3 linked regions of the Drosophila melanogaster genome follow. The protein of the gene in region 1 interacts with the protein of each later gene in a pairwise test. Each region holds a gene or a part of one and is shown in the gene's direction. Other genes may lie near its edges.

What was found. Proteins that work in one complex are often made in the same cells at the same time.
Region 2: the proteins of CG13047 (region 1) and noc interact in a two-hybrid assay, tested with the Drosophila melanogaster proteins (one large-scale study listed by BioGRID).
Region 3: the proteins of CG13047 (region 1) and Elal interact in a two-hybrid assay, tested with the Drosophila melanogaster proteins (one large-scale study listed by BioGRID).

The regions. Positions count from the first base shown.
Region 1 is NT_037436.4:16,283,077-16,288,220, reverse strand, and holds CG13047 (uncharacterized protein), read left to right. Parts: upstream 1-2,824; 5' UTR 2,825-2,865; coding exon 2,866-2,877; intron 2,878-2,955; coding exon 2,956-3,456; 3' UTR 3,457-3,541; downstream 3,542-5,144. Other genes in the region: CG13046 (uncharacterized protein), read left to right, coding at 1-506; CG13048 (uncharacterized protein), read left to right, coding at 4,564-4,581, 4,641-5,144.
Region 2 is NT_033779.5:14,488,229-14,495,808, forward strand, and holds noc (no ocelli), read left to right. Parts: upstream 1-2,630; 5' UTR 2,631-3,017; coding exon 3,018-3,107; intron 3,108-3,409; coding exon 3,410-4,933; 3' UTR 4,934-5,791; downstream 5,792-7,580. UniProt on the Drosophila melanogaster protein: May negatively regulate Notch-induced cell proliferation in the eye-head primordium. Required for development of the supraesophageal ganglion and ocelli.
Region 3 is NT_033777.3:24,862,796-24,869,440, forward strand, and holds Elal (Elastin-like), read left to right. Parts: upstream 1-2,554; 5' UTR 2,555-2,574; coding exon 2,575-3,049; intron 3,050-3,216; coding exon 3,217-3,731; 3' UTR 3,732-4,856; downstream 4,857-6,645. Other genes in the region: CG7016 (uncharacterized protein), read left to right, coding at 186-1,274; Srg1 (Sting-regulated gene 1), read right to left, coding at 1,483-1,911; CycB3 (cyclin B3), read right to left, coding at 6,006-6,645.

The DNA.
Region 1 (5,144 bases):
AACTCATGAGCTTGGCTCTGGCCGATGTCTCACACCTGGATTACTCGATAGCACCCAGCACCCAGCTGGGTTACTATCACTATCCCGCTCCCAACAGGCCAGCCGTGCAGCGGAGCCAGAGGAACCAGTACCAACAGAACCAGCAGTATCCCCAAGTGGCACGACAGTTTGCCGAGCCCGCCTTGGAGCATGCCGCCTTCACCCAGGCTCTGACCAGCCAGGGTTACGTATTTGGAGCACCGTCGTCTGCCCTCCAGGTGGCTCCCCCGGCACCACAGCCCCAGCAGGTGGCCAGAGTATCATCTGCTGCGGGATCGGCCACAGGTCGTTCCATATCCTCCGCTTCCGTGGATGCCAACTCGCTGAATCTCAAGCTGCCAGTGCCCTTTGGCATTGCTCCACTGAATGTGGCGCAACTTCCGCTGCAGGCTGGGGCACCATATGCCAGTGTGCCCAGAACCACGGGGCTAACCTCCTATGGAACACCGCAGATCCAGAGGCGCTAGTCCAGCAATCCTAGCCCATAGAATAGCAATAGCAATACATTTAATAGAGCCAGAGCCATCCCGACTGATCATCAAACTGCGATGACTTCTGCTCTTAGTGAATACACATTGATAATAAACTTGCCATCTAAGCTTAGCCTTTCGGTTGAGTCTCTTTTTATTGGCCATTTTTAGTCTCATTGCCATCGATGGAGACTGCATTTGCATAATGTTTTGAAGGTTAATACGCGGGCACACACAAAAAAAAAAGAGGTCTTCGTCCATTGGATTTACACCTTTCACTCTCCTACGATGGGTTAATGGTTGCTATTTACATACACACAAATCGGGCCAAGAGATCTCCATCTCCATCCGCGCCTCATAATGAGACCTCAAACTTGGCATTGGCATTCGGAATTCTCTTGTGAAAACAAAAGAAATCGAGACAACGACTAACTTTTGACGTATATTTATGAAAGCCAATTAAAGTCAAGTGTCATTGATCAGATCTGGGAACGGAACTGGGAACTGGGATCTGGATCTATCTATATATCTAGACATATTTATGCCTGCCGTATAGAACCTGCTTCCCGCGAAAACAAAAACGGGAATTAGAAATATGGTCTGCATAAATTTGGGGCTTAAAAATCAATTAAAGCAAACGGTACTGACGACAGCCAAACAATTCCTAAGAGGGATAAAGCTTCTGATGAGCCTCTAAATCAGATTGCAAATAAATTTAAAAGGTTAACTAGGAAGTGAGCGGATCGCACAGCTGTGAAGTGGAGTGCTGAAGACAAGAAGTTGATGGCGATGGTCTATGAAGATGAAGATGAAGATGGTTAAAGATGTACTCATTTCCGTGCTTGAGTCACCGGAAAATTGGCGCGTCATCGGTTGAGAATTCCTGTCCAGAAATTGTGAACAAGTGAACGAGAAGAGGTCACCCTTGGAGTTGGAATGTACTAGCTGTGGTTGCTGCCAAGATTGGATCAATCCGATCAAAAGTGGCCACAATGCGGATACAGAATACAGAATATATGGAAAAGTATACAGTTACATGCGTGGGGCAACTTGATCACCAGATATCATTTATATACATATATATATATCGCCCTCTCGACTCGTCATCGCGACAACCTTGAGACCGGCGTCATCATCGTATCGGATTTCAGAAGCAGCTATAAAATAACGACCATTTAGATACTCTATACGATTTGTTAGTAAGCGGTATGAGTATAATATTTTGTGACTGTACTACAGAAAAACTTCGATTTTTCATAAACTCGCTCTTTGAAATCATGCTCCTAATGGGTTGTTCTACCAAGTCATTGACACTAAAATATGCTAATTTACAAACATTCATAAGTAGCAAAAGTACCCGATCATAAAGAGTAAAACAATGCAAATCGCAGACACCAAGCCATCAGATGACGACGATGCTGCTGACCAGGCCAGCACGTGACCGAGAGAGACCGAGAGAGATGGCTCATTAAGTCAGCTAGCAAGCAGGTTTCGACTGCTCGATCATTCGGCCCCGCGCCTTGTTGGCCAATTAAGCTGAAGCGAATTGATGAGACCCACTGGATGAGGATGAGGGTGCATCACATCCTGTGGCCAGGTGGCGTCAAGGTCAGGTCAACACGAAAACAAATGAAGACCCGTCGGCTAGGATGAGAGGGAAATTTACGACCGCCTTTTATTGGCGTCTCTGCAAGCCATTAAAAAGTGAACTAATGAGACACTTAGTGGGCCGGAATCGTGGCCTTTGAGGAAGGGGTACCATTTTTATGGCCAATTTGACTTAGATTGCGGCCAATTCAATGCGAAGCGGCGCACATTGATGGCCCAAACAGACTGCAAATTACGACAAGACAGCCCGGCCACCGAGTCAGTCTTCAATTGCATACAAATGTCGATCACTGCACTTGGAAAAATTTTTATAAAGACTATAACTTGGTATGCTATACAAAAAGTTTACCTCTGCATGTAAATACACTGCACTAAATAGTTAAGGTTAAAAATTTTAAATAAAATATTTATACATTGAAATCAGAATTATATCATATCTTTTCTTATAATATTTACCAAAGCTCAAATATTTTTCCAAGTGCAACCGAAATATTCAAGCGACAACTTGGACAACTTCCGACAGTCCATTGGGCAATTGAAGGCGGAGCACGTCTTGGCCAAATGGCGATCATGTATGCTACTTGGCACTCGACCAGGTGGGCCAGCTAATGAAGAAGCGACCAAAAATCGGCTCAGACAGAATGTCCCCCAAAGAGCACGGATATGGGCACGAGCTATATAAGCCACTGGTCTGGCTCCAAATGAACATTATCGCTCAAGTGCTTTAGACAAACCCAACCACAGCAATATGTACAAGTTTGTAAGTGATCCTATGGGGATTAGCGCCCAAACAATGTGGACTAAGAGGTGGTTAATGATTACCTATCCTATTTTCCAGTTGGTTCTCGCTGCCCTCATCGCCTGCTCTGCGGCCAAACCAGGAGTTGTAGCTCCACTGGCTGCTCCTCTGGCTGCTCCCCTGGCCTACGCTAATGCTCCTCTGTACGCCGCAGGTGGCAGCAGCCAGGTGGATGTCCGCAACAACTACGACGGCACCCTGTCCTCCTACACCACCGCTCCGTTCGAGTTCGCCGGCCCCTACTCCAGCCGCTATGTGTCCGGAATCCCAGCTGCCCCCGCCGTGGTGGCCAAGTACGCTGCTGCTCCTCTGGCCGCCGCCTACTCTGCTCCTCTGGCTGCTCCCGTCGCTGCTCCTCTGGCCGCTGCTCCCGTTGCTGCTCCTCTGGCCGCTGCTCCCTATGCCGCCGCTGCCTACTCCGCCTATCCCTATGCCTCGCCCTACGCTGCACCCTACCTGGCATCTCCCTACGCCGCTCCCTACGCTGCATCCTATGCTGCTCCCATCGCCGCTGCTGCTCCAGCTCCAGTGGTGGTCTAAGGACACACCTGTGAAGCAGGCCAAACTATAGGAAATTTTTGATAAACAAAAAAAAAAACTGATAATAAATTACGAACCAACAATTAGAGCGCACCATCTTATTATTTGCAGAAATGCCTTGAATAATTAACGAAAAACGAAAGTACTATTATTTATCGGATATTTTTGGTTCATGAAAATTCAATTGGACGCTCATTTCGATTGGGTCAATATATATATATTTCTTAAGAAAATATAAAATAACTTCTTTACTTAACTATGATCAATTTTTGATTAGATGATTCCTTTTGTGCAAGTGGTTTTATTAAGCATCCATATATTTCCAGATTTCAGATAGAGGAAGTTATTTAATTTTTTTTTAGAAACTTTAGAACTTTCCATTTAATGCTCTGAATTTCTCGTTTCTCACTCATTTCTTTGATATGCAAAATAAGCTTGTTTATTGGTGGATATCATTTAATACAAATTATGCATAAATTATAGGTCTGCATTTAATTTTTAATGGAATTTTTTCTAACAGCTGCATTGAATTTTAAAGATAATATTGACAAAGTAGCAACATACATAAGTTAGGGACTTAGGGAAGTTAAAGTCAGACAACTTGGTCACCATGTAAACAATATTTGTTGTGATTGCGTTGTCACCTAAGGCGCAATATCGATTGTTATTTATGGTCAAAGCAATATTTATGGATTATCATAATCATATTCCACTCATGGGCAACTGTCAATGCCTGGGCTTGGTTGGCCCCATGTTATATAATCATGGGCCGTGCTTTCGAATCGCCCAAGAAGTTATTGGCCCCTCGATCGAAGGCAGTGCCATTCGCAGTCGCCGTCTCAGTCACGACTTGCTGACCAACTAAATGGGATTGGGTTGCCTCCCTCCAAATGATGCAACCCATTAAGTTAGGTGAGTGGGCCAAGTCGTCGTCGAAAGTGAAGAAATGCAAGTGCAAGTCTTTTGATTGCGTACCGCCTTCAATTCGCTATAAATATTAATTTAATTTGACAATGCAAAGACATTAGCAGCCGAACCAACAGGTCGAGCACATCGATCGAGAAGCTACTGCCCCAAAGAAACCGAACTTCAAATCCCCCAAGCAAGATGTGGCAACTGACATGGGTAAGGACTGCAAAGTTCTTTTGACCAAAGATATTAATAGGTAACCTAAATATTTTTAGGCCTTTGCATTGGCTTTCCTGCTGGTGGGTGGTGAGGCAAAGCCCTCTCATCTTCACTACAATCACTTCGATCCCCACCATGTCAACCACTTTGACGGACATCATCTGAGCCACTTGGATTCTCTGCATGCTCTGCCGCACCACTTGGATTACGCGGTGCAGGAATCGGTCCTTCCTCCGCCAGCTCCTTTGCTTCCTGCGGTGGCTCCACCACCAGCATTTGCTCCACCACAACCTGTATTTGCTCCAGCGCCTCTCTTACCTGCTCTTGCACCATTTTTACCGGCTCCTGCTCCTCTTCTGCCCGCTCCTGCACCACTTCTACCAGCACCTGCACCACTTCTACCAGCTCCAGCTTTTCTGCCAGCTCCTACTCCTCTTTTGCCCGAGTTCCATGTGCCCAGTGTCACCCATCAAGTGCTGCCGCCCGTCCTGGAGGCGGTGCCCTTTGCACCCACCTACCGTGCCATTCCCGGACCGAAGACCACCACCCACCGCGTGTCC
Region 2 (7,580 bases), on another chromosome or scaffold:
CCGCAGGCAAACCATCCACCACCCGCCGCCACCCACTGGTGTGCATAAATCAAAAGGTAAATGGCTGCATTTTTATGACTGCGCCGCCATCGTCGTCGTTCGCCTTTTGCGCTGCTTCGCTTTTATCACACAAACATTTCTGTGATAATAAATGCCATAAAAATGAAGAAATATGTGGTTAATTTTATGTGCTGCCTCTGCCATTCCGCCGCTTGTTGTTCTTGCTCTTGTTGTTGTAGTTGTTGTTGTGGCATCCAGTATACTTCCTTTTTATATTCCCCATATAAATGTTTTCGCGGCTACAAATTTTTCCCACTACATTTGGATATCTCTCGGCGCTTTCCTTTACAACTTTGGCGAAGATATCGAGAGTATTCGAATTCGAAACTCCTTATAGTTGCATAAAACGAGATTTTTAGTCTTAAAGGACTCTGATGCACTATATAACTAGAAGCTCAATATAGTTTTTTATTTCAGATCTTATTATTGTTAACCTAATAGAACTGCTGCATCTTTAACTGCGTACCTTGTAATTTAAATTACGCTTTTTTTTATATTTGTAATCTTCGCTACACGACCTCCTTTTGAATAAAATGAAGTTATCAACGCTGAAATGCTGCAGGGTGAGCATTAGTCTGAAAGCAAATCGCTTTAGTCACGGTATCAAGGTGTTCCGCACTTCCGCTTGGCAATTTCTTCGGCTTCGTGTAATTTATAATATTTTTGTATTATTTATATGACACCCCCGGCCACTGGTTTGAATTTACCTTCAGCCCACTCCCGCAATTTGCTAGTAAATAATTCACATACAGGAGCAGCGAATTTATGACGCTGACAAAGTGGCCATAAAAAATAACAAATAATAAGAGAAAATGCTATGGAACGTGTGCGTAAACTCTCCAACTCTGCAGCAGTATACATGCATATATACACGTATATACATTATTTTGGCAACACTTTTTTCGCTTTGTTGCACGCAAAACCGCAAATTATGTCTAAGCCGTATCGTAAAGTATCGCAGCACGCTCTTAACTAATAAATCCATCATTTCGCCGAAGGCCGAGAGTGTTTCCTCTACCTGTTTTAGCCTCGAAGGTATTTCGCTGCCGGGTTTCGGCTTAGGGATTCCCACAGAAAAATGTCTAAACACTCTAAATCGGGATTAAAAGTGTCGCTTCTGGGTTTTCGGCTTATCGTCCATATTTATACAGATTTTAATTTACTTGCCAGGGGCTTTGAAGGGTTCTTAAAACTCAGCTTGGTGATTAGGTAACATATCCCAAGGGCCAGATATTCCAAAATCCCCTCGGGGCTTGAGTTAAACATCTTGATACATAGTTTATGGTTAGTCCAACCGATTTGGTTGGGATTACGTTGGAGTTTTAATATCGGTTAGGTAAAGTGGCTAGAATGATCTAGATCAACAAAATCTAAATGATTAGTCACATAATATTTTCTAACTACTTAAATAATAGTAATCAATTATGTTTAGAAGGAGCTAGCCTATTATTAGCTCTTAATAATTTAATATAAATCAGCCTCGTTTTGCAATTAAACATTATTAGTATTCAGTAATTATCTTGAAACCAAGCAACGTGATTAACGCGATTTCGTGCGAAACGTAAATAAGTAAGTTAGGCAAGTGCTAACTGGAAAATTCAATCCAATTGTAGAGCGATTAAAAATGCAGCGGAGTTAACCAAACCATTAAACTATTACCAACTCTCTGAGTGCAACATGCCACAACACACATTCGCTTGTTTGATATGTGCAGATTAATTACACACACACCAAGGAAGGAGGAAAAATTGCTTGGAAAAACTTTTCGACGCGACAACAAAACAACGATTTCCACTTAAACAGCAAAACAGGAGCCACGAAAAAAAAGAGGGAAAACCAACCGCAGAAGTTAATCGAAAAACGCTAAACAAAGGCCACAACAACAGCTGTGCGAGTGAGCGGGTCAGAGGGAGAGAGGTGAAGTGCCAGAGCGGGAGAGCGACAAACAAATTAATTTTTATATGACATTAAAACGAGCGAAGCGAGGCGATGGAAATGGTTGAAGAGTGTGTTTAAGTGTTGAGTGGTTTGCTTTTCCGAGCAACAAATCTCGGTGCGAAGACAATGAGGCCTCTGCCGCGCCGCTGCCGCCACCACTGCAGCGCTGCTGCTGCTGACAGCCCCATCAAGAAAAAGTTCCCCCAGAGAGACACAGAGAGGGAGAGTGAGCGTGACATATGTGCCAAGATAAAATTAATGTGCCCCCCAAAGCAGCCACAACAACAACAACTCACTGAGCGGCGCTCTCAGCGCTCAACTGTTGCTCTCTGGACGAGTGTTGCCGTGGTGCAGCCATATTATTATGATTTTACAGGAAGCCAAATCGGAGAGCGAGAGAGAGAAAACCTGTCTTGGCTTCCATTGCAAGGCGCATGCGATTGTGATTGGACAAAAAGTACGCCATATTTGAAAATTACGCACAGTGCATCTCGCTCGCATGCAGCAGGCGGTGCTCCTCTAACGCAGGCAGCAAGCCAAAGTGTGCAGCGCTGCTCGCCGGAGAGCGCTCTCTCGCGAGTGAGCGAACGCTTCGCTGCGAGGGCAGTTACGCTCGCTGCCGCAGTCGTTGAATTCAATTCGAATTTTGACTTCGCAGCGTTCAGACGTGTTCGGAAAAACCTGAAAACCATTCGAGTGACAAGAGATATAACCAACAAAAATAAGAAACCTCAGTCAACTGTGGTCACTGATCGAGAGTGTTTCGTTTCGAGTGAAAAAGTGAAATCAGAGCCAAAACACAAATCGCTTGGCCAGCAAATTGAAATAGTGCTACAGAGATAAATTCTCTGCTCAAAACTACAAGTGTGTTAAATCGCCGATTTTCTTTGGATTTACCAACGTTTGCCGACGCATTTCTGTGGATTAACCTCATCGTCGCCGAAGCAAAGCTACGCATTTGTAGCCTTGTCTCGCAACTCACGTGGATTACCCTCGAGAAAACACACTAAGCAACTGATATGGTTGTCTTGGAAGGAGGCGGCGGCGTTGTTACCATCGGTAACAACCAGTACCTTCAACCGGATTATCTGGCCCCATTGCCAACGACGGTTAGTATTGACTAAGTTAAAAGCTGTAAAATTTTGGGATGGCCGTAAAATCTATGGTTTTAAATTTTGCGTACTTAAGAATTAAATTTGGAAAGTTCATAACATCAAACAATTTTTCAAATCTAAAAATTTATATCGTCATTAATACTTTCACGAACAAACTTTCTTTGGAAGAAATTGCATTTTCTCATAGTTTTAACTTCTCACCAAATTAAAATCAATATTATCTTAAAACTCGTAAAAAACTTTAAAATTACAAAAAACCTAATTCCAACTCCACATTTTCATTTTATTCATAACAGATGGACGCCAAAAAGAGTCCCTTGGCTCTGCTCGCACAGACTTGCTCCCAAATTGGAGCGGATTCGTCGGCAGTGAAACCCCTGCTGGCAATGGACAAGAACAAGACAAAGCCCGGAGCATGCTCCTCGTCGTCGAACTCGTCGAGTTCCTCGGGCAGTGCTGAGATCTCGGCAGCCAAGTCACCCTCCGGCCAGGCCAAATCGCCCAAGTCGAGCACTCCAATCAGCTCGACGGCAACCAGCGCAAGTCTGAGTAATACCAGCACCGGTGAAATCAAACTGGCCTTCAAGCCCTACGAGACCAATGTGCTGAGCCACCAGAACCAGAACTCCTTCAAGAGCAGCTCTTCGCTGGATGCGGAACCCACGCGTCCCAGCTCTAAGAACTCCTCATCCGCCCAGGAGCGTGTGCCATCGCGCAGCAAATCAAATGCCACGCCCACAGATGGCGGCAAGGCGGAGATTTCCGCGCACGATTCCTCATCCAGCCGAAAGACTGTCTCCCCGTCGGGATCGTCGCAACGCGGCGCCAGTCCCATTGTGCGCTCCGGCATGGAGGTGCTGAACAATGCCAACGGAACCGCCCAGCATCCCAAGGAAATGAGCAGCATGGCTGCGGCGGCAGCAGCAGCAGCAGCGGCTTACAAGGCCGCCGGACCCTATGGGCTGAATCCCCTGTCCGCCCTGTGCTGCCCGCCCGGAATGGAGCAGCACGCCAATCCCGCTTTCCGGCCACCGTTTGCCGGAGGATTCTCACACCATCACGCCGCCATGTTGGCAGTTGCCGCCAATGGAGGATATCCAGGCGGAGCTCCCGGCGGTGGACCAGCCGGACAGCCCAATCCGTACATAAGTTATCAGCGCATCAAGACACCAGCTGGCGGCGAGGCTATAGTGCCAGTCTGCAAGGATCCGTATTGCCAGGGATGTCCCTACTCGGCGCACACGCAACAAATGCTCATGGGTGCCCCCTGCCCCGCCGGATGCACCCAGTGCGAGCATCAGAAATACGGCCTGGCCATGGCCAGTGCCGCCGGACTGCCACCAGCTCATCCATACTCGCAGGCAGCGGCCGCTGCTGCGGCAAACGCGGCGGCAGCCCGTTCGGCACCCTACGTGTGCAGTTGGGTGGTGGGCGATGCCTACTGCGGCAAGCGATTCCAGACCTCCGACGAGCTCTTCTCCCACCTGCGCACCCATACGGGCAATCTCTCCGATCCGGCGGCTGCTGCGGCGGCCTTGGCCCAATCGCAGGCTCAATCCCTGCTGGGAACCCTATTTCCGCCATCGGCTCTCCGAGCTGGCTATCCAACACCACCACTGAGTCCCATGTCAGCGGCTGCGGCAGCGGCGAGGTATCATCCATACGCCAAGCCACCACCAGGCGCCTTGGCTGGAGGACCTTCGCCCTTCGGCGCCGCTGGAGCATTCAATCCTGCCGCGGCGGCTGCGGCAGCTGCTCTGGGACCCTACTACTCGCCATACGCCATGTACGGCCAGAGGATGGGAGCGGCTCATCAGTAAAGTGACTTCCACAAGAGTTAAATACCAAAAAAAAGGGGATTACGTTGAAGAGACAACCAGAGATATAGAATGAAACCATTTCCAAACCCTGTTTGAGATACTTTCATGGAAAACAAAAAAGATAAAAGCACAAAACGATTGCAAAGGCTGACACATCTCTGGCTTTTGCGCTATTCTGTGATACTAAACTGTAGTTTAAAGAGCGCTAGTTACACTTAAGTTTCGCAAACAGAAAATAATCAACCACCTAAAGAACAGTAGTAGCCGCAAAAATAGCAGGATCACTCTCTTCTATCATCGTAAATGTCTACATTGTTAGGTAAAAAGAAGTGCAGCCAACACGAAGTTCACTCACTCTTATTTGTTCTCAAAGTTCAACCAAAGTTTTTTAAGTCTTAGCCAGAACACATTCTACAACTTCCAATTTTGTTAATGAAGAACCCATTGCTGAGATGTTCAAACATTGTTTTAGTTTAACTTCGCTTTAAGTTCTATTAACTATTATTACGATTATCTGCAAGCATACAACAAACCAACAATTGAAATAATGTTCTTTAAGTCAACTTATATTTAAAGTAAGTGTAATGAATATTTGTAATACCAACCAATCAGAGATAAAAAATTAAAAAAAAATAATAATAATTACGAAAAATAAAAATGAATATTTCATATAATTATGTACTGTGTGTAAATTCTATAAATATAAACTAGATTTGCTATTTACTCCTTGATGTACGCAAACCACAATACGATCTACACAAGAAGCCACGGAATATCAAACAAAAATAACTTAAACTACATGCAACACATTCGTATAAAACTGAGAAATATACAAGAAAAAACAATTTTTAGAAGCATAAACCACGAATCTTTTCTTTTGAAACAAACTCTTTTACAGCTGGAAAACTTTTTGTTGGGCCATAATTTCGCTTCGGTTATCTGCGCTGTTTGGCTAGCTCACATATGGGTCATAAATATTGCTGATAATGCTCCACTAGGTTTTCAATTATATTTACATAAGGCTGAGTGGCAAATTCCGGAAACCATAACAAGGTCTAATTCTCTTAATTTTATAGTTCTTACTTAGAAATGGGACTAAAGGAGTTTTTAATTCTGAGAATTGAACTGCTTCTTATAAGTATCATTGATATTAAATGTAAGGTTCTAGGCAAATAAATAAATAAAATCTTATAGGTTATTCTTTAAAAATATTTTAATTAGTTTTATTTTAGACAAAAGGTATTTTAATGTGCTCTCAATTTTTTCTGGATGCACTCGAAGAAATCTGGGTTTCCCCATCTCACCTAACACATTTGAAATTCAAATTAGTACTATTAATTTGCATTGCTTGTTGCATTTTAAGCGCACTCAATTTGTATGCAGCGATTCGTATTCAGCCTAAAAAATCAAATCAAAAGCAAATTTCAATTTCACGAGGGGTGGGGTAAATAACTTGATTGGGCAAGCCTTAATAAAACAGTCGCCGGCAACAGTCATAAAACACCCAAGCTGAAAATTAAAAATCAATAAAAATCACATTTGTACCAACAATGTGTATAACAAAAATCAATTGCCATTCAATGAGCAACTCAAATGCATATATAAATGAATATGTGTGCATATGTACGTATGTATGTACATATAAAAAAATCGCTGACAAAGCGAAATGACTAACATTATTCACAAAAAATATGCTTCAGAAATATCAAAATCTGAAACCAACCAGACAACTCAAACTTAAGCAACAATCAGCCACAGCAACAATGAAAATCAATGGTGATATTTCGAGTGTATCTCATAAATAAATTAATTGTGACAATATTCAATTGATTCGATTTGAAATTATCGCATTCAACTGTCAAGCGATCAACGACAACGTTTTTTCAATTGTTTCAATTTCCAGCGGATTCTTTCAATGTCTGTTTTCATTCCCCCTTCAACCCACTTGAATGTTGTTTCTGATTTGATTTTGATTCGTTGCGAACACAGCCGTTTGGCCCCAATACAAATGTGGGAATATGATATTCCGCAGGGTCGGGGCTGCCAAGGGGTAGACTTATCAATACTCAGCAATCAGTGTTGTCAAATGAAGTGGCGAAGTGCGAGTTCTTGATTTCAGAATGCTGAGGGATTTCAATTTTGTAAAGCATTTCAAAGAAGTGGGAGTGCTCCAATGGTATGTTTTATATATTCAGCAAAACAATAATGCAATAAAAGAGCAGGAAATCAGAAATCAAATAAAATAAACCATGTATGCAAAAACCATTTATTGAAACGCCTCAGTAGGCTTAGTATAGAAAATTTAATATCTTCCTCTGTTTTCCCCGAACTTTGGATACTTTTAATCGTGTTTTGATTCCGTTGAAAGCTGCGCTTGTAGGGCGTTTTGATTGTTGTTGCTGTCGTTCCAAATTTAATTTATTTACATGCCACGCATTTCTTTGTTTTACCCTGCTGTCCATGTTAAACAATCTGTTTTGGATGTCAACACTCGCGCGGCGCCTCCGAACGGCAGCCATAAAAGCAAAATCAACTTGAAAGGCAGCAAAAGCAGCGGAACACCGAAACAAAAACCAAATCAACAACAAACTCAGCAACTTTTTGTTAAAAATAGTGTGTTTCTGAATGGGGAGCAAATAGCTCCAAC
Region 3 (6,645 bases), on another chromosome or scaffold:
CTATTTTGGAGAGCGGTTAAGATCTCTCTGGTTGCGGACACTGATTTTCATCATGCTCTCACTGATCGCCGGACAGGTTTTCAATGTTTAATCAAGCATCAACGATTATCGCATAGGCGGAGCGTAAAAGTTCCCCCTCAGTTAGAGTCCGCCTTTTGTGGTGATCACTGCTCGAACACCCGAACATGACGCGATCTTCGCCAGCTTGGTGTGCTGGCCAGGCCTGGCTCGTCTGGCTTTTGGCATCCATCTGGATACGCACGTGTCTCGCGCAATTTGCAGTCTCCTCGTCCTCCGCCGGCGGAGCTGTTGCCTCCGCCGGTGGCGTCACTGTGGTGGCCCAGCTGCCCGGTTTCGGAGTTATCAATGGACTGATCAATGCCATGCACAACAACAACCGCTTCAACCAGCAGCCGCAGTTCGAGAGACTGCAGCAAGGAAGGCCGGGGATGGGTCCGAATCGAGGAGGAATGCACAGACCAGGATTTGCACCACCCAACCGTCAGCAACCGACGCCTCCTGGCTGGCCACCCGGCTGGCAGTGGGGAGCCGGTGGAAATCAGAATCAACCCGGATTTGACTGGGTTCAAACAGGATTTGCACCAGGCTGGAATGGAGGTGGAGGGCAAGGACCAGGATGGAATGGTCCAGGATGGAACGGAGGCGGTGGAAGAGGACCTCCACCAAGACCAGGTTTTAACGGCGGCGGACCACCGCCGCCAAGACCAGGATGGAACGGCGGCGGGCCACCACCACCGATGCCAGGCTGGAATGGAGGAGGGCCACCGCCACCAAGGCCAGGATGGAATGGCGGAGGACCTCCGCCACCAAGGCCAGGCTGGAATGGAGGGATGGAACAGGAATGGGATAACTATCCACGCCTCCCCGATCAGCCGGATCCCAATGATCCAAACACGAATTGGAATCCAGATAATGAGTCTAGCACCACTCCACAAACGCCAATACCAGGACCCATCTTTCCAACGACAACACCTAAGCCAGAGCCCACCTTTCCCACGATCCAGCCACGTCCAACCGCTCAGCCAACGAAGGATACGCTCATAATAGGAACCAATCGACCGCCGTTGGTGCCGCCCCATAATCCGGATCCACCCACGCCCACTTTTCCCACTTGGATCGTGCCGGAGCCATTGCCAAAACCATTGGACGAACTCTCCGAAAATCGTGCTATTATATTCCCCAGCTCTAGCAAATATATCCATGTGCCAAACCCGGAGGTTCCCTCAATTCCCATTGATGTGAGACGAAGATGAATCTTCTAAGAGGGAGTTCCCCGATTCACACTTGTTGTATATATATTCGTAGACCATTGTTCAATTGCTCCACCCGAGATCGTCTTTGTCATAAGTTCAAAACAGGTTCTAAAAGCTCGTTGGAAATAAACGAAATTTTAATAAATTACACATAAACAAATGAGACAGCACATGATTGGATGAGACTGGGGTATCTGACGGATGAACGTTAGTAACCCCGCTGCTTGTAACCACCTCCACCTCCGTAAAGATCCTGATTCTTGTGCGGATAATGGACACTGGCAGGATGAGACGGCTGAGAGTAGTATCCAGGCGAAGGACGCACTGACCAAGGTGGTGGATAGTAGTCATTTGCTGCCGGAACCGGTCGTGGTGGGTAATAGGCATAGCCACCTGGATGCGTCTGCTGGTGGCTACCACCGTAGCCGTAGCCTCCACCATAGTGATAGTCGTAGCCCTGCTCGTAGCCCTCCTGGATGAGTGGACCTGGTCCAGGATGTAGCTGTGGATCAACTGGCCTTGCTGGCGGATAATGATTTGGGTCGCCGAACAGAAGCTCCGCAATCTTATCGAAAGTGGGTCTACCGTGGGCCAAGCTGGCCAGGATTAGCACTAGAATCGCAGCCAACAACTGCATCTTGGGATATGTAGAGCAATTTTGCTGATAGTCCCAATGTCCATGCGGCTTTTATAGCCAGCAGCAGCACATGGCGATAAGAAAGATGAATGGAATCGAGTGGAAGAACCTTGGGTAATGGAACAAATGCTATATGTACATATGTACTTATAATACTAATCTATTGACTGGTAAACAAGGTTGACTGGGAAAGCTTTCGTTCTCTATATAAAGGGAGGATCATAACTCATGATCATCATCTATGCAAAGATGAGTTATGAATTGCTTGGGAAATCCCTAAACCAAAAATGCGTCTCAACTTATCTATTACTTGGCTTTAGGCCGCAAATTTATACATTGCAAGAAATTTATATATAACATTTATATTTATAAATTTGTATATGGGTATTTCTTTAAAAAATTCATTTATTTGTTCAAATTTATGGCTAGTATCTATGCATATGCACATTGTTGTGTTATATTTTCAACTTTTGCTTTCAGTGTAGACTCTCTCATTCAATTTACTAGAAAGAACACTCAATGAGACTTAAACTACATATCTGGGCATTGAGCCCCTGATGATAACCCCAAAAATAGACACTCAGCTAAGCTCTCGTGTCATCAGATCTCACCATGAAATACACGCGCCGTGAGCTTCTGGGCTTTAGTGTACCCAAAGACGCCATGTTAAGCAGGAGGGTCATCGCATTCGCCGCTCTGGCCCTCATCCAGATAGCCAGCGGTCAGGCCTCGCAATTCAGCAGGGACGAAAGTCAGGAGGATCAGAAGACGGAGTTTAACCTGGCCTCCACTCTGACGGGAGGCATTACCAGCAGTCGCCATCGCCAGCGGGCCAATCTCAATTCGCAACTTTATCCTGGCCTTGGTCAGCTGGGATCGGGTTATGCGGGCGCAACTGGATCCATCGACGATGCCCATGGCCATGAGCAGGGTGGCTCTGGCGTACGAGTGGCCAGTACGAACTCCGTTGTTTTTCCTGGCAACCAGTCACCAAATCCGGCACTCACAATTACAGGAGGTCACCAGATTCCCGCTTATCCGCCTCCGGGTTTTCCTGGACAACAGGCTCCAGTTCCGTACCCAGCTGCAGGAGGCTCTTCAGGAGGATCCTCATCATCCGGTGGTTACCAAAGTGCAGGTAGGTCCTTCTAATAGGTGGTTCATTTATCTTAGTGAAATCAGAAAACTAATATCAAGTCTTAACTCCCAAAAAAGTTATACAAAATTTAAAAGATTGGTGAATAGCAAATCCACATTTTGAAATATATATGAAATTATGATATTAATGAAATGTCCCCTTTTTAGGTGCTGTTTCTCCTCCTGGCTATCCTGTTGCTGGAGCAGTTCCTGCTCAGTATCCGGTGGGAGTTCCTCCCCAGCAGCCAGTGGGTGCAGGAGCACCTGGTTACTTCCCGGGAACTGGTGCCTATCCTGGCTATCCCTACCCCGGAGTATACTTGCCACAGTACCCAGCGTACCCTCAACCAGCCCAGTTCCCCGCCTATGGAGTGCTACCCGGAGCTGTGGCTCAACCAGGAGTTCCTGGAGTAGCTGGAGTTCCGGGAGCACCTGGAGTGGCAGGAGTGCCCGGAGCAGCTGGTCAGGCTCCTGCCACCAGCGGCATGAACTATCATCGCTATCCGGCTCACAATCCCGCTGATCCGAGCCATTGGGACCATCATTTCTCGATGAACACCGAGTACAAGGAGGATGGCGTCCACAAGGGACCATTTGGAGTGCTGAACAATCACAATGCCTTTGGCTATGGCAGTGGATATGGGGGCGGATACAACGGTGCCTTCAACTCGCCGGCCTACTGAAGCTGGCCGACATCATGGGTGGACCTCGGTGGTGGTGGTAGTGGTAATGGTGTTGGTGGGGCGTGAAGTAATCCGAGTCGTAGTCATAACTTCGCTGCTGCCTCCTTGGCCAGAGGCAGCTGTCTTTGCCTATCATCCTGTGTGTCCCTGCGAAATAAACTTGATTTCTGCACACCCAACCAAGATAATTAGCAATGCTGGCCAGTTACCAGTTGCACCTTGAACCGGAAAAAATAAAGCACATGCACTCGGCATTCTGCTCCCATACAGACAGCTAACCCAAGACATTCACATCCCATCCTTATTCTTTTCCTTATTCTTATGGCAATGCCGCTTCTTTTATCCGGCGTGGACACAATCGAAGACGACAGGAGCTACCTGGCTGGCAGGCAGCCGAAAAAAAGGGAACGCACAAAGGCAGGACTCTGGGCGAGCCAAAGGTGGTGGTAGAAAATCAGCGTCAGAGAGAGACGCTGTTACTGGTATTGGTACTCCTGGTGCCCTTCGCTGGACCCAACTGCAGCGACATAAATCGGCTGGGTTTCGCTGTGCAGCGGAAAAGAGAGGGCCGAAGGAAAGGAAAGGAACCCAACCAAGGGACGACGTCTTGATGTCTTGCGGCGCATGCGCAGCCTGCCGCGCAAATCCTTAACAAATTTTTGGCGCTAAAATGACGGACGAGCGCGCCAAAAGCAAGGAACCGCAGGAAACTCGAGAGAATCATGCCCGGGGTATACAGACTACGAGTATACAGACAGACACTTACACTCATGGATTATGAATGATTTGGACGGACGGTATCGGTGGTTTTTACCTGTAGCAAATCGAACCGATTCCAGCCAGGGTTTGATGTCCTTAGGTCATCAGCCATCAGCTGTTCTATGATGAGCGCGGAGAAAGGAGCACAGATTCAGCTGAGAGGATTCGAAACAAAGGAATTAGAATGGGTGGGGTAATGGGTATACTCACGGCAAAGAAGTCTAGATGTGCTAAACGTTTTCCCTTAACCTTTGACATCTAGGAGTTTATGCTCTGTTTCTAACAATTAAAGATTGAACTGCAACAAATACATACATTCCAGATTCTAGGAAATTGAAAATAATGCCCTAAATTATTTAATCCCCTAGGAACTAGGATCATTTCCAACATGCTGGATAAAGACAGCTAATTTAAAATACTTATTTAAAGTAAACATAAACACTAATGATACTACAATTGCATTCAACTAGTTATATCTGAGTTAATACTCACCCGATTTTGAAACTTCCATCAGGTTTTTAAAAGAGTTTTCTAGAAAGAAAAATAAAAATACGAATTTATTGCACTTACCCTATTAAAAGTAAGAATTTTTTCACTTCGCCCACCGTTTTCCGAATGTAATGATGGTAAAAAGATTGAAGTATTTTTGAACGGACGTAAAAATGTTTATTGGTATTCTCTCGCAAAACGATACATACATAACACTGAGTACATACATAACTAGTTACTTCAACAATGCAACGTTATCAACCATCCATGGATAAACGAGGTGAACTGAGGCAGGGCGGGGCGGGGCGGTATGATCAGGAACTGGGAAGTTGATGGTGAGCGTCCTTCGAGGGGCGGGAATGTGAGCGCAAGGAGGGGAGTCCATGAACGACTTAACAAATAACAGCATTAATAACGACGACAGGAACAGATGCACATGGCGTACATGGCGTGCACGGGACGAGGGTTGATCGCAGCGCATTTCCAGGTTGTACGGGACACACGTGCCTTTCATAGTCGCTTCGTATCCTTGCGTTTGTGTATCTGTGTAGAATAAGTTAGTGGGGATCCGTGTCTGCTTTGGTGGCTTACGAGTTAGGTTTATTTAATGCTGGCATCTCTTAAGACTAACGTACATATTAAAACATGAATCGTTTTGGGATTTTTTGGGTGGGGGTGCTAAAGATAATGTCGCCTTTCGAGTTTAGATTGATTGTGTTCGGCTACGTATGCGGTATGTGGGAAAATTAAACAATAATACATGGCAAAAAGAAACAAAAGCACTCTTAACATAATATTTATGCAAAAAACATGTCAATAATGCGAAGGTCACAATAATAATTAAAATATAATAAATTGCGAGGACTTGACGGGAACACTAGGTAAGGGGTAAAATCAGGGGTTTTTAGATTAAGGCGGGGATCCGCTGTTTCGTCGGGATGGGGCTAATATTGGGAATAGAAGCGTCTTAGAGCCTAAGTGAAGCGTATCGTATCATGTTGAATTTGGCTAAACTTTGAGGCTGTCCTACGACAGATTGCTTTCGTTCAGGTCAAGGTTGCCCTGGAAGAGCTCCTGGTTCGTCAGCAGCGGCACCTTGGCCACCTCGTGGAATATTTTGTGCGAGTACTTGTTCCGTATCGTCTTGATGGTGGCCCGTGGCTTGCGATGCAGTCCTGCATTGAGCGCGGTCACAATTTCAGCAAAGTCCGCCAATTGATAGCCGGTGTAGTAGATAAGCGTCGATGTCCACGTCTGCTTGTCCAGCTGCCCCGGACCGCCGTGCATACGCAGTGCCATGAACAGTGCGGCCGAAGCCATCTGCGAGTCACTGAACGAAATATTGGCGTAATCCATGAGCGACAATTCCAGGATGTATCGAGCCAGGGTCAGCGTGGGCATAGGCACCTTGGCGCATCGGGCATAGCGGCGCAGGAAACGGTACGAGAGCGGGATGCCCAGATCGTACTTGATAACGCGCAGCGTCTCCCGCTCCATTCGCACCAGCTCGTCGTGATTATAAGCACCATCGCAGATATACAAAAAATCCTCTATAAGCGGCGGCTGTCGCTCATCGTACTTGCAGGCAATAAAGAAGGCAGCGGCGCCCAGAAGTTGCAGCTTCTCTTTGTTGATCACCTCGCGGCAGAGATACAGATCGACGATC